3 linked regions of the Saccharomyces cerevisiae S288C genome follow. The protein of the gene in region 3 interacts with the protein of the main gene of each other region in a pairwise test. Each region holds a gene or a part of one and is shown on either strand. Other genes may lie near its edges. The genes, in order: KEX1, FTH1 and KEX2.

Region 1 (4,345 bases), on a different chromosome or scaffold from region 3:
GAAAAGGAGGCTTGGGTGAATCTACAGATAGATTATCCCATGGGAAATAATCTTTTAATGGCAGGCCACCACCCAAAAAGATAATGTTAGGATCTTGGAAAAGATGGATGCAGGTTTTCAATGGGGATGGTTTACGAGCATTGGTTTCATCCGAAAACAAGTAAGAAAAGTCTTTTGATTCAGGTAAAGTCATGATAGTAACGATCGGTTGTCCTATTCAATGTCTGTATCAACTGCAGGGTTTAACTTAGTGGAATGGAAAAATAAGAAAAAGAAATAAGTTCTTAAAGATATAACCAAACCAAATATATAGTCTAGAGATGTGTATAGGAGGGTCTACAAGATAAGAAAAAAGATTGCGATACACATATCTTCAAATGAAATGCGCTTAATATTAGTCATAGATTGGACCTCGAGAAAGTGAAAAAGTGCAGAGTGAAAAATGTGATAAAAAAAGGAAAAAAAGACATCTAAGGTAACCCGGATGTTCTTCATTATTCCGGCGCAATTTAGTACTGTTCTTCTATCAATGGCAATTCAGAAGCCAGATTCTTGAATGAGGTGAAGGAGAACAATGGTTATAGGTTAATTAAGAGATTTTTGGATGGTGTATATGAGCCATGTTTAATCTTGGAAAAATAGTGAACCGGGAAAAAAATAAAGAAGAACTCCTCATAGGGGGCTCGAACCCCTGACATTTCGGTATCCTTGCTTAAGCAAATGCGCTTAAAAGCCGAACGCTCTACCAACTGAGCTAACAAGGATGAGTTCTTCGGATTTCTTCGATAATAGTTTTAGTTAAATATACATTATGTTCACATAATGCTATTATTTAATGCACATGTTAATGGACGGTAAACTACTTATCATTTATTGCAACAAATGAAAAGACACCACCCTAACAGCACGAAAAATGATGTTAATGTCTTGTATAGTATTGTCGGATAACTAACTCTCGTCTCAACAAAGCTTAAATAAGAGCTGAGAGATTGGTGAATTTTAAGATGATTGTAGGCATTTCATTGTTGATCAAGGCTACAATATTATGTATACAGAATATACTAAAAGTTCTCCTCGAGGGTAGAGGAATCCTCAAAGGGGAAGCGATATTTCTACATAATATTATTACGATTATTCCTCATTCCGTTTTATATGTTTCATTATCCTATTACATTATCAATCCTTGCACTTCAGCTTCCTCTAACTTCGATGACAGTTTCTCATACCTTATGTCATCGTCTAACACCGTATATGATAATATACTGGTAGTGTGACTACTAGTTTATAGACGATAGTTGATTTTTATTCCAACAGGATCATTTTGTTAGGTGAGGAATTGCGAGCTTTTTGGCTATAACTTTCAAGTTTTGTCACCAACATTTATATTTGCTTACTGCAGCCCGGAACCGAAAAACAATGTGGAAAAAGAAAAAAAAGTGGAATATTTTGATAATATAGGAAACATTAAGAAAAGCGATTTCTTATCATTGTCTTCAACTCCCATCTATTTGAAAAAGCTTGCTGAAGCATACTTTGGTTAAAGAGTACCTTGGCTATAGAATACCGTAGAGATAAAGACCTGAATAGATGTTTTACAATAGGTGGCTCGGAACGTGGCTAGCCATGTCTGCTTTAATAAGGATCTCAGTATCCCTTCCGTCATCTGAGGAGTACAAAGTGGCATATGAGCTGTTGCCAGGGTTATCTGAAGTGCCAGACCCTTCAAATATTCCACAGATGCATGCTGGCCATATTCCTTTACGTTCCGAAGATGCGGATGAACAGGATAGCTCTGACTTGGAGTACTTTTTTTGGAAGTTTACCAATAACGACTCTAATGGCAATGTCGACCGTCCCTTAATTATATGGTTAAATGGTGGACCCGGTTGCTCTTCCATGGATGGTGCCTTGGTCGAATCCGGCCCTTTTAGGGTGAATTCAGACGGTAAACTTTATCTAAATGAAGGGTCCTGGATATCCAAAGGCGATCTTTTATTTATCGACCAACCTACTGGTACTGGGTTTTCTGTCGAACAAAATAAAGACGAAGGTAAAATCGACAAAAACAAATTTGACGAAGACCTAGAAGATGTGACCAAGCATTTTATGGATTTTCTGGAGAACTATTTCAAGATTTTTCCAGAAGACCTCACTAGGAAAATCATACTATCGGGTGAAAGTTACGCTGGCCAATACATACCATTCTTTGCCAATGCAATTTTGAACCATAACAAATTTTCAAAGATCGACGGGGATACATACGACTTGAAGGCGCTATTGATTGGTAACGGTTGGATTGACCCCAATACACAGTCCCTATCGTACCTTCCGTTTGCTATGGAGAAGAAACTGATTGATGAAAGCAACCCCAATTTCAAACACTTAACGAACGCACACGAGAATTGCCAGAATCTGATAAACTCTGCCAGTACAGATGAGGCAGCCCATTTTTCGTATCAGGAATGTGAGAATATTTTAAACCTTCTATTGTCTTATACCAGGGAATCTTCGCAAAAGGGAACAGCGGATTGCTTGAACATGTATAACTTCAATTTAAAAGATAGTTATCCATCTTGTGGTATGAATTGGCCGAAAGATATTTCCTTTGTCAGTAAATTCTTCAGCACACCTGGTGTTATTGATTCGTTGCATCTTGATTCTGATAAAATTGATCATTGGAAGGAATGCACTAATAGCGTTGGAACTAAATTGTCTAATCCTATTTCAAAGCCATCTATCCATTTATTACCTGGTCTACTTGAAAGTGGAATAGAGATTGTCTTGTTCAATGGTGACAAAGACTTGATTTGTAATAACAAGGGCGTATTAGATACTATAGACAATCTAAAATGGGGTGGAATAAAGGGATTTAGCGACGATGCTGTTTCGTTCGATTGGATCCATAAATCGAAGAGTACAGACGACAGCGAAGAATTTAGCGGATACGTGAAGTATGATAGAAATTTGACGTTTGTTAGCGTTTATAATGCTTCTCACATGGTACCCTTCGATAAAAGTTTAGTGAGTAGAGGCATTGTCGATATTTACTCGAACGATGTTATGATCATTGACAACAATGGGAAAAATGTTATGATTACTACTGACGACGATAGTGATCAAGATGCTACTACTGAAAGCGGTGATAAGCCAAAAGAAAACCTCGAAGAGGAAGAACAGGAAGCGCAGAATGAGGAAGGAAAGGAAAAAGAAGGCAATAAAGATAAAGATGGCGATGATGATAACGACAATGATGACGACGATGAAGACGATCACAACTCCGAGGGCGACGACGATGATGACGATGACGATGATGAAGACGATAATAATGAAAAACAAAGTAATCAAGGCCTCGAGGATAGTAGACATAAATCTTCAGAATATGAACAAGAAGAGGAAGAGGTAGAAGAATTTGCAGAAGAGATTTCAATGTATAAACACAAAGCGGTAGTAGTTACCATCGTTACATTTTTGATAGTGGTTTTAGGAGTTTATGCGTATGATAGAAGAGTGAGGAGAAAAGCGCGTCACACAATTTTAGTTGATCCAAATAATAGACAACATGACAGTCCCAATAAGACAGTTTCATGGGCAGATGATCTGGAAAGCGGACTCGGGGCAGAAGATGATTTAGAACAAGATGAGCAGTTAGAAGGCGGAGCACCCATAAGTAGCACTTCTAACAAAGCAGGATCTAAATTGAAAACTAAGAAAAAGAAGAAGTATACTAGCCTTCCGAACACTGAAATCGATGAATCTTTTGAGATGACTGATTTTTAACTTGGCAAATAAAAATATATAAAAAATACAGAAAAATAGTTATAATACCTCGCACACGCTTTTCGTAGTAACAGCGACATAAAGATAAATTCTTTAAAGGGTACAATCCATCAAGAACTGACTGTTTTATTTAATTCACACTACTGAACTTCATATTAAAGTGTCGTCATTTAAGTCTAGTAGGTTATATTAATCGCGCACAATAGTTTTTTTTTATGCAAACTGTATCACGAATATTTTTTCAGTTTTCGGACCATTTTTTGACATTTTTAACCAGTTTTTAACATTTTTATGGTAGCGTTCTTTTATTTTTCACGTAATTGCATTGAAATAGACATAAACGTATAAAATAATATACAAGTAATTAGAGCTTTTGAACGAGATTGTTTAGTGGTTGTTTTAACTCCTTCACAGAAGTTGAAAACTTCAACGCATTCATAGCCCCACATATCAACACAAATCCCTGGAAATGAATGGAACTGATATCCTTCGTTTTTTGCAATCTTCCCCCACCATTAGTTACAGCAAACATTTTATACTTATAACAGCATGCCCTCTGTTTGTATTA
Region 2 (3,631 bases), on a different chromosome or scaffold from region 3:
AAACTTTTCGAAGAAAACAACGTAACTGATGGTTAAAATTTGCATAAAGAAGGTCAGGCCTCGTCTGCGGACAACAACACTATCAATATCCAGCGTGCAATTATGTCTGTGCACCACAAAAAGAAGCTAATGCCCAAATCGGCATTGCTGATTAGAAAATACCAAAAGGGAATCAGATCATCATTCATTGGGCTCATCATAGTGTTATCCTTTTTATTTTTCATGAGTGGCTCAAGGTCCCCAGAGGTACCAATAGCTCAGGGCACCAGTGTCAGTCGTGTAGCCAGTAAGGATTATTTGATGCCGTTTACTGACAAGTCACAAGGAGTAATCCATCCCGTGGACGATGGAAAGAAGGAAAAGGGTGTTATGGTCACATTGGCCAGGAATTCAGATTTATGGAACTTGGTAAAATCTATTAGACATGTTGAAGACAGGTTCAATAACAGATATCACTACGATTGGGTGTTCTTGAATGACCAACCATTTAGTGATGAGTTTAAACGTGTTACCAGTGCATTGGTTTCAGGCAAGGCAAAATATGGGACAATCCCAAAGGACCATTGGTCCATTCCATCTTGGATCGATACTGAAAAATTCGATGAGAAAAGGCTTGCAATGGGAAAATTGGATATTCCATATGGTAGTTCCGTGCCTTACCGTCACATGTGCCGTTTCCAGTCAGGGTTCATATGGAGACACCCACTACTGGAGGAGTACGAATGGTTTTGGAGAGTGGATACCGATATCACTTTATTCTGTGATATTCAGTATGACATATTCAAGTTTTTAAAAGTAAATAACAAGAAATATGGATTCATTCTTTCGGTAAGTGAATATGAGCGCACAATCCCAACCTTGTGGGAAACGACAAAGAAATTCATCAAGAAAAATCCTAAATTCTTACACAAAAATAACCTCATGAAATTCATTTCGAATGATGATGGTGACACTTATAATATGTGTCATTTCTGGACCAACTTCGAAATCGGCTCTTTAGACTTCTTCAGGTCCGATGCATACAGAGAATACTTTGATTACTTAGACAGTTCTGGTGGATTCTTCTACGAAAGATGGGGGGATGCGCCAGTGCACTCCATCGCTGCCTCTTTGTTCTTGGACAAGTCAGAAATCCATTTCTTTGACGGTCTTGGATTCCATCATCCAGATTTCACCTCTTGTCCTATCGAACAGAAGATTAGACTACAAAACAAGTGTATCTGCGAACCTAGCAAGGACGTCACCTGGACTCCTGACTACTTCTGTACTAGAAAGTACTTTTCAGCAGGAAATTACAAGCTTCCACCAGGAATTTAAAAACCAAACTACAAATAGCGCCTGCTCCGTCAAAACAGGTGCTAAAACGTCAACATGTATCTATCTATATACACATAATTCAATGTAGTAGCCACCTCACTTTATTCTAGTGCCTTCTTGGGTTCAAAAATGGGTGCGGTGCGGCCGGAGATGAAGAGAGAAAAGCAAAATTGTATCTAAACCAGCCTACAAAAACACAAACTTGATATTATAAAGAATCAAGCATCTTACTGAACTTTTGTCCTCTACAGAAAAGCGAAAAAACTCTAAGAATAGAGAACTAGAGTGGTGTTCATATTTCTAGTCACCATGGCGTTTGAGGATTATTTTTCTTTCCAGATATTCTTCATTTTCTTAAGGGAATCCTTAGAAATTGTTGTCATTGTTTCTATCCTGTTGACGATCGTCAAACAAGGTCTGTCTGTTGAGGACGACAGCCCGTTTGAAGGAAGTTCCTCTTCTGCTGGTCTTCCAAGTCCAAATACGAACACAAACGCAGATTCGACCACTGCCTTCTTACAAGCAGGGCCTTCAGACGGTAATGCTATTGGAACGTCCGCTACGGCTGCTAATAATAAATCGAGGCCGCTAAATGTGGAGGAAGAAGAAGAAATTTACGAGTACTCTAATGAGCTTAGAGACCAGGACCGCGAGTCCGATGAACATACGGCTGACAACGTTAAGCTATATCAGAAATTAAAAATACAAATTCTAGCGGGCGGCGCATTTGGTTTGTTGCTGTGTATGTTAATCGGGGGTGCGTTTGTTAGTATCTTTTATCATATTGGAACCGACTTATGGACACTGAGTGAACATTATTATGAAGGTGTCTTAAGTCTTGTCGCGTCCGTTATTATTTCTGTCATGGGGTTGTTTTTTTTAAGAATGGGGAAGTTAAGAGAGAAGTTCAGAGTGAAATTAGCTTCTATCATTTATTCAAAGGACAATAATTTGCTGGGAAACAAAACCCAAAAAGGTGTGAAATTCAGTGAAAAGTACTCCTTCTTCATATTACCATTTATAACGACTTTGAGAGAAGGGTTAGAAGCTGTTGTATTCATTGGAGGTATCGGTATTGACCAACCACTATCCTCGATTCCCCTCTCTATGGTCCTTGCTACTGCAATCAGTACGGTGTTCGGTATTTTTTTCTTCAGGTACTCAAGTTCTCTTTCACTTAAGATATGCCTTGTAGTCGCCACCTGCTTCCTCTACTTGATCGCGGCTGGTTTGTTTTCCAAAGGTGTATGGCAACTTGAATTGCAAGACTACGTCAACAAATGTAACGGTCAAGACATGAGTGAAGTAGGAAATGGACCCGGTTCGTACGACATATCTCGTTCTGTTTGGCATGTTAATTGTTGCAATGGTGAAAAAGATGGAGGTTGGATGATTTTTACTGCCATTTTTGGTTGGACGAATAGTGCTACCGTCGGCTCTGTAATTAGCTACAACGCCTACTGGTTGGTATTAATATGCGCTTTGAAACTGCTAATGATAGAAGAAAAATACGGATATATCCCATATCTACCTATTAGCTGGCAAAAGAAACGTATTATGAAAAGATTAAGCATTGCCAAGGCATCGCTCGATCTCAAACATCATACTTCTGAACTCAACTCTAGCACATCAGAGCCAGACAGTCAAAGACGGTCCAAAGATAGTTCTGTGCCCCTAATAATTGATAGCAGTGGTTCAGCAAATTGAGAACATAACAAACACACGTAATAATTTTAAGCTTCTTTTCATACATTTTACAGTAAATACTATGTACATATATATTCGTCATTAAAAATAGCTAGAAAAAGGCATGCTATAAAGACTAAATGAGTGCTCCTTTGATTTTAGATGCCAACAAAAGGTAATTCATGCCAATGTCTCTATGACGGCCACTATGTCACCAGAATCAACCATATCACCATTGCCATGGCAAATCTTGATAATCTTACCCGATTTAGGAGCGGATATAATCATTTCCGCTTTCATGGCTTCAATAATTAGTAGCCCTTGACCTGCTTCAATAACATCTCCAACAGATGCTATGGATTTCCAAAAACGCCCAGAATACTCAGAATATACAATTTCTGCACCTTCTGGGAAGTCTTCTTCCTCGTCAGGTTTGACTGTGACACTTTCTTTTAGTTCAGAGTTTGCATTTTGAATCAATTTGGCAAATTCCTCTGCTCTTTCACCAAGCTGGCCCTCCTGGAATGCTGTGATGGAATCTTTGTTTGCGTTGATCCATCTCAAGTATTCTTGATGATCAAAAACACTCTTTTCGATATTGACTTTATAAACACCATTATCACAATCT
Region 3 (5,035 bases):
TCTCTTAATCAATGGGGTTGCATGTGGTAATCAATTGATAACGCCGGCTGACAAGTCGCCGACGGGCACCCATAAATAAACGATAAATAGCCCTTGCTCTTTTGTTACATGCTTCCTACTTCTGTTTCCCGGTCCTTGTATCTCAAGACGTTTAGAAGCCACCTTTTACGAGCACCACAAATTGTTTTAAAAAGAATGTCCTCTTCCATCGATATCAGTAAGATCAACTCTTGGAACAAAGAGTTTCAATCCGACTTAACCCATCAATTGGCAACCACTGTCCTTAAGAATTATAATGCCGATGATGCACTGTTGAACAAGACTAGACTGCAAAAGCAAGATAACAGGGTTTTCAACACTGTTGTCTCTACTGATTCCACTCCAGTCACCAACCAAAAAAGCTCTGGTAGATGTTGGTTGTTTGCCGCTACCAATCAACTGCGCTTGAATGTTCTTTCTGAATTGAACTTAAAAGAATTCGAACTGTCCCAAGCTTACTTGTTCTTTTACGATAAGTTGGAAAAGGCCAACTATTTCTTGGACCAAATCGTCTCCTCGGCTGATCAAGACATCGACTCACGTCTCGTGCAATACTTGTTAGCAGCTCCAACAGAAGACGGTGGCCAATACAGCATGTTTTTGAACCTAGTCAAGAAGTATGGCCTTATCCCCAAAGATTTATACGGGGATCTACCTTATTCTACTACTGCGTCCAGAAAATGGAATTCTCTGTTGACTACTAAACTGAGAGAATTTGCCGAGACTCTAAGAACAGCTTTGAAAGAGCGTTCTGCCGATGATTCCATAATTGTCACTCTGAGAGAGCAAATGCAAAGAGAAATCTTCAGGTTGATGTCGTTGTTCATGGACATACCTCCAGTGCAACCAAACGAGCAATTCACTTGGGAATACGTTGACAAAGACAAGAAAATCCACACTATCAAATCGACTCCGTTAGAATTTGCCTCCAAATACGCAAAATTGGACCCTTCCACGCCAGTCTCATTGATCAATGATCCAAGACACCCATATGGTAAATTAATTAAGATCGATCGTTTAGGAAACGTCCTTGGCGGAGATGCCGTGATTTACTTAAATGTTGACAATGAAACACTATCTAAATTGGTTGTTAAGAGATTACAAAATAACAAAGCTGTCTTTTTTGGATCTCACACTCCAAAGTTCATGGACAAGAAAACTGGTGTCATGGATATTGAATTGTGGAACTATCCTGCCATCGGCTATAATTTACCTCAGCAAAAGGCATCGCGTATTAGATACCATGAAAGTTTGATGACTCATGCTATGTTGATCACTGGCTGCCACGTCGATGAAACGTCTAAATTACCACTTCGCTACCGCGTTGAAAATTCCTGGGGTAAAGACTCCGGTAAAGACGGATTATACGTGATGACTCAAAAGTACTTCGAGGAGTACTGCTTTCAAATTGTGGTCGATATCAATGAATTGCCAAAAGAGCTGGCTTCAAAATTCACCTCAGGTAAGGAAGAGCCGATTGTCTTGCCCATCTGGGACCCAATGGGTGCTTTGGCCAAATAAATAGTTTCAGCAGCTCTGATGTAGATACACGTATCTCGACATGTTTTATTTTTACTATACATACATAAAAGAAATAAAAAATGATAACGTGTATATTATTATTCATATAATCAATGAGGGTCATTTTCTGAAACGCAAAAAACGGTAAATGGAAAAAAAATAAAGATAGAAAAAGAAAACAAACAAAGGAAAGGTTAGCATATTAAATAACTGAGCTGATACTTCAACAGCATCGCTGAAGAGAACAGTATTGAAACCGAAACATTTTCTAAAGGCAAACAAGGTACTCCATATTTGCTGGACGTGTTCTTTCTCTCGTTTCATATGCATAATTCTGTCATAAGCCTGTTCTTTTTCCTGGCTTAAACATCCCGTTTTGTAAAAGAGAAATCTATTCCACATATTTCATTCATTCGGCTACCATACTAAGGATAAACTAATCCCGTTGTTTTTTGGCCTCGTCACATAATTATAAACTACTAACCCATTATCAGATGAAAGTGAGGAAATATATTACTTTATGCTTTTGGTGGGCCTTTTCAACATCCGCTCTTGTATCATCACAACAAATTCCATTGAAGGACCATACGTCACGACAGTATTTTGCTGTAGAAAGCAATGAAACATTATCCCGCTTGGAGGAAATGCATCCAAATTGGAAATATGAACATGATGTTCGAGGGCTACCAAACCATTATGTTTTTTCAAAAGAGTTGCTAAAATTGGGCAAAAGATCATCATTAGAAGAGTTACAGGGGGATAACAACGACCACATATTATCTGTCCATGATTTATTCCCGCGTAACGACCTATTTAAGAGACTACCGGTGCCTGCTCCACCAATGGACTCAAGCTTGTTACCGGTAAAAGAAGCTGAGGATAAACTCAGCATAAATGATCCGCTTTTTGAGAGGCAGTGGCACTTGGTCAATCCAAGTTTTCCTGGCAGTGATATAAATGTTCTTGATCTGTGGTACAATAATATTACAGGCGCAGGGGTCGTGGCTGCCATTGTTGATGATGGCCTTGACTACGAAAATGAAGACTTGAAGGATAATTTTTGCGCTGAAGGTTCTTGGGATTTCAACGACAATACCAATTTACCTAAACCAAGATTATCTGATGACTACCATGGTACGAGATGTGCAGGTGAAATAGCTGCCAAAAAAGGTAACAATTTTTGCGGTGTCGGGGTAGGTTACAACGCTAAAATCTCAGGCATAAGAATCTTATCCGGTGATATCACTACGGAAGATGAAGCTGCGTCCTTGATTTATGGTCTAGACGTAAACGATATATATTCATGCTCATGGGGTCCCGCTGATGACGGAAGACATTTACAAGGCCCTAGTGACCTGGTGAAAAAGGCTTTAGTAAAAGGTGTTACTGAGGGAAGAGATTCCAAAGGAGCGATTTACGTTTTTGCCAGTGGAAATGGTGGAACTCGTGGTGATAATTGCAATTACGACGGCTATACTAATTCCATATATTCTATTACTATTGGGGCTATTGATCACAAAGATCTACATCCTCCTTATTCCGAAGGTTGTTCCGCCGTCATGGCAGTCACGTATTCTTCAGGTTCAGGCGAATATATTCATTCGAGTGATATCAACGGCAGATGCAGTAATAGCCACGGTGGAACGTCTGCGGCTGCTCCATTAGCTGCCGGTGTTTACACTTTGTTACTAGAAGCCAACCCAAACCTAACTTGGAGAGACGTACAGTATTTATCAATCTTGTCTGCGGTAGGGTTAGAAAAGAACGCTGACGGAGATTGGAGAGATAGCGCCATGGGGAAGAAATACTCTCATCGCTATGGCTTTGGTAAAATCGATGCCCATAAGTTAATTGAAATGTCCAAGACCTGGGAGAATGTTAACGCACAAACCTGGTTTTACCTGCCAACATTGTATGTTTCCCAGTCCACAAACTCCACGGAAGAGACATTAGAATCCGTCATAACCATATCAGAAAAAAGTCTTCAAGATGCTAACTTCAAGAGAATTGAGCACGTCACGGTAACTGTAGATATTGATACAGAAATTAGGGGAACTACGACTGTCGATTTAATATCACCAGCGGGGATAATTTCAAACCTTGGCGTTGTAAGACCAAGAGATGTTTCATCAGAGGGATTCAAAGACTGGACATTCATGTCTGTAGCACATTGGGGTGAGAACGGCGTAGGTGATTGGAAAATCAAGGTTAAGACAACAGAAAATGGACACAGGATTGACTTCCACAGTTGGAGGCTGAAGCTCTTTGGGGAATCCATTGATTCATCTAAAACAGAAACTTTCGTCTTTGGAAACGATAAAGAGGAGGTTGAACCAGCTGCTACAGAAAGTACCGTATCACAATATTCTGCCAGTTCAACTTCTATTTCCATCAGCGCTACTTCTACATCTTCTATCTCAATTGGTGTGGAAACGTCGGCCATTCCCCAAACGACTACTGCGAGTACCGATCCTGATTCTGATCCAAACACTCCTAAAAAACTTTCCTCTCCTAGGCAAGCCATGCATTATTTTTTAACAATATTTTTGATTGGCGCCACATTTTTGGTGTTATACTTCATGTTTTTTATGAAATCAAGGAGAAGGATCAGAAGGTCAAGAGCGGAAACGTATGAATTCGATATCATTGATACAGACTCTGAGTACGATTCTACTTTGGACAATGGAACTTCCGGAATTACTGAGCCCGAAGAGGTTGAGGACTTCGATTTTGATTTGTCCGATGAAGACCATCTTGCAAGTTTGTCTTCATCAGAAAACGGTGATGCTGAACATACAATTGATAGTGTACTAACAAACGAAAATCCATTTAGTGACCCTATAAAGCAAAAGTTCCCAAATGACGCCAACGCAGAATCTGCTTCCAATAAATTACAAGAATTACAGCCTGATGTTCCTCCATCTTCCGGACGATCGTGATTCGATATGTACAGAAAGCTTCAAATTACAAAATAGCATTTTTTTCTTATAGATTATAATACTCTCTCATACGTATACGTATATGTGTATATGATATATAAACAAACATTAATATCCTATTCCTTCCGTTTGAAATCCCTATGATGTACTTTGCATTGTTTGCACCCGCGAATAAAATGAAAACTCCGAACCGATATATCAAGCACATAAAAGGGGAGGGTCCAATTAATGCATATTTAAGACCACAGCTGAATAACTTTAAAACGGCAGACAAAACAAAAAATAGGTCGAATAAACCTTACCTGCCTAGAAGGAATGACAGCAGCTAATAAGAATATTGTCTTCGGATTTTCCAGATCCATTAGCGCAATTCTACTAATATGCTTTTTCTTTGAAAAAGTCTGCGGTGATATGGAGCATGATATGGGCATGGATGATACTTCGGGATACACGAGGCCAGAAATTGTGCAGGCTGGGTCGAAATCTTTCCACTGGCTCTGCACTTTGGGATTCTTGTTGCTTTTACCATCCGTGGT

The links.
Region 1: the proteins of KEX2 (region 3) and KEX1 interact in binary tests that used the Saccharomyces cerevisiae proteins (3 or more experiments, as listed by UniProt).
Region 2: the proteins of KEX2 (region 3) and FTH1 interact in a protein complementation assay, tested with the Saccharomyces cerevisiae proteins (2 studies listed by BioGRID).

What each region holds. Positions count from the first base shown.
Region 1 is NC_001139.9:111,907-116,251, reverse strand, and holds KEX1 (serine-type carboxypeptidase), read left to right. Parts: upstream 1-1,587; coding exon 1,588-3,777; downstream 3,778-4,345. Other genes in the region: ARO8 (bifunctional 2-aminoadipate transaminase/aromatic-amino-acid:2-oxoglutarate transaminase), read right to left, coding at 1-193; YGL204C (uncharacterized protein), read left to right, coding at 4,247-4,345.
Region 2 is NC_001134.8:633,520-637,150, forward strand, and holds FTH1 (Fth1p), read left to right. Parts: upstream 1-1,626; coding exon 1,627-3,024; downstream 3,025-3,631. Other genes in the region: mannosyltransferase KTR3, read left to right, coding at 103-1,317; DUR12 (bifunctional urea carboxylase/allophanate hydrolase), read right to left, coding at 3,184-3,631. UniProt on the Saccharomyces cerevisiae protein: High affinity iron transporter probably involved in transport of intravacuolar stores of iron.
Region 3 is NC_001146.8:200,374-205,408, forward strand, and holds KEX2 (kexin KEX2), read left to right. Parts: upstream 1-2,054; coding exon 2,055-4,499; downstream 4,500-5,035. Other genes in the region: LAP3 (bleomycin hydrolase), read left to right, coding at 196-1,560; YTP1 (Ytp1p), read left to right, coding at 4,815-5,035.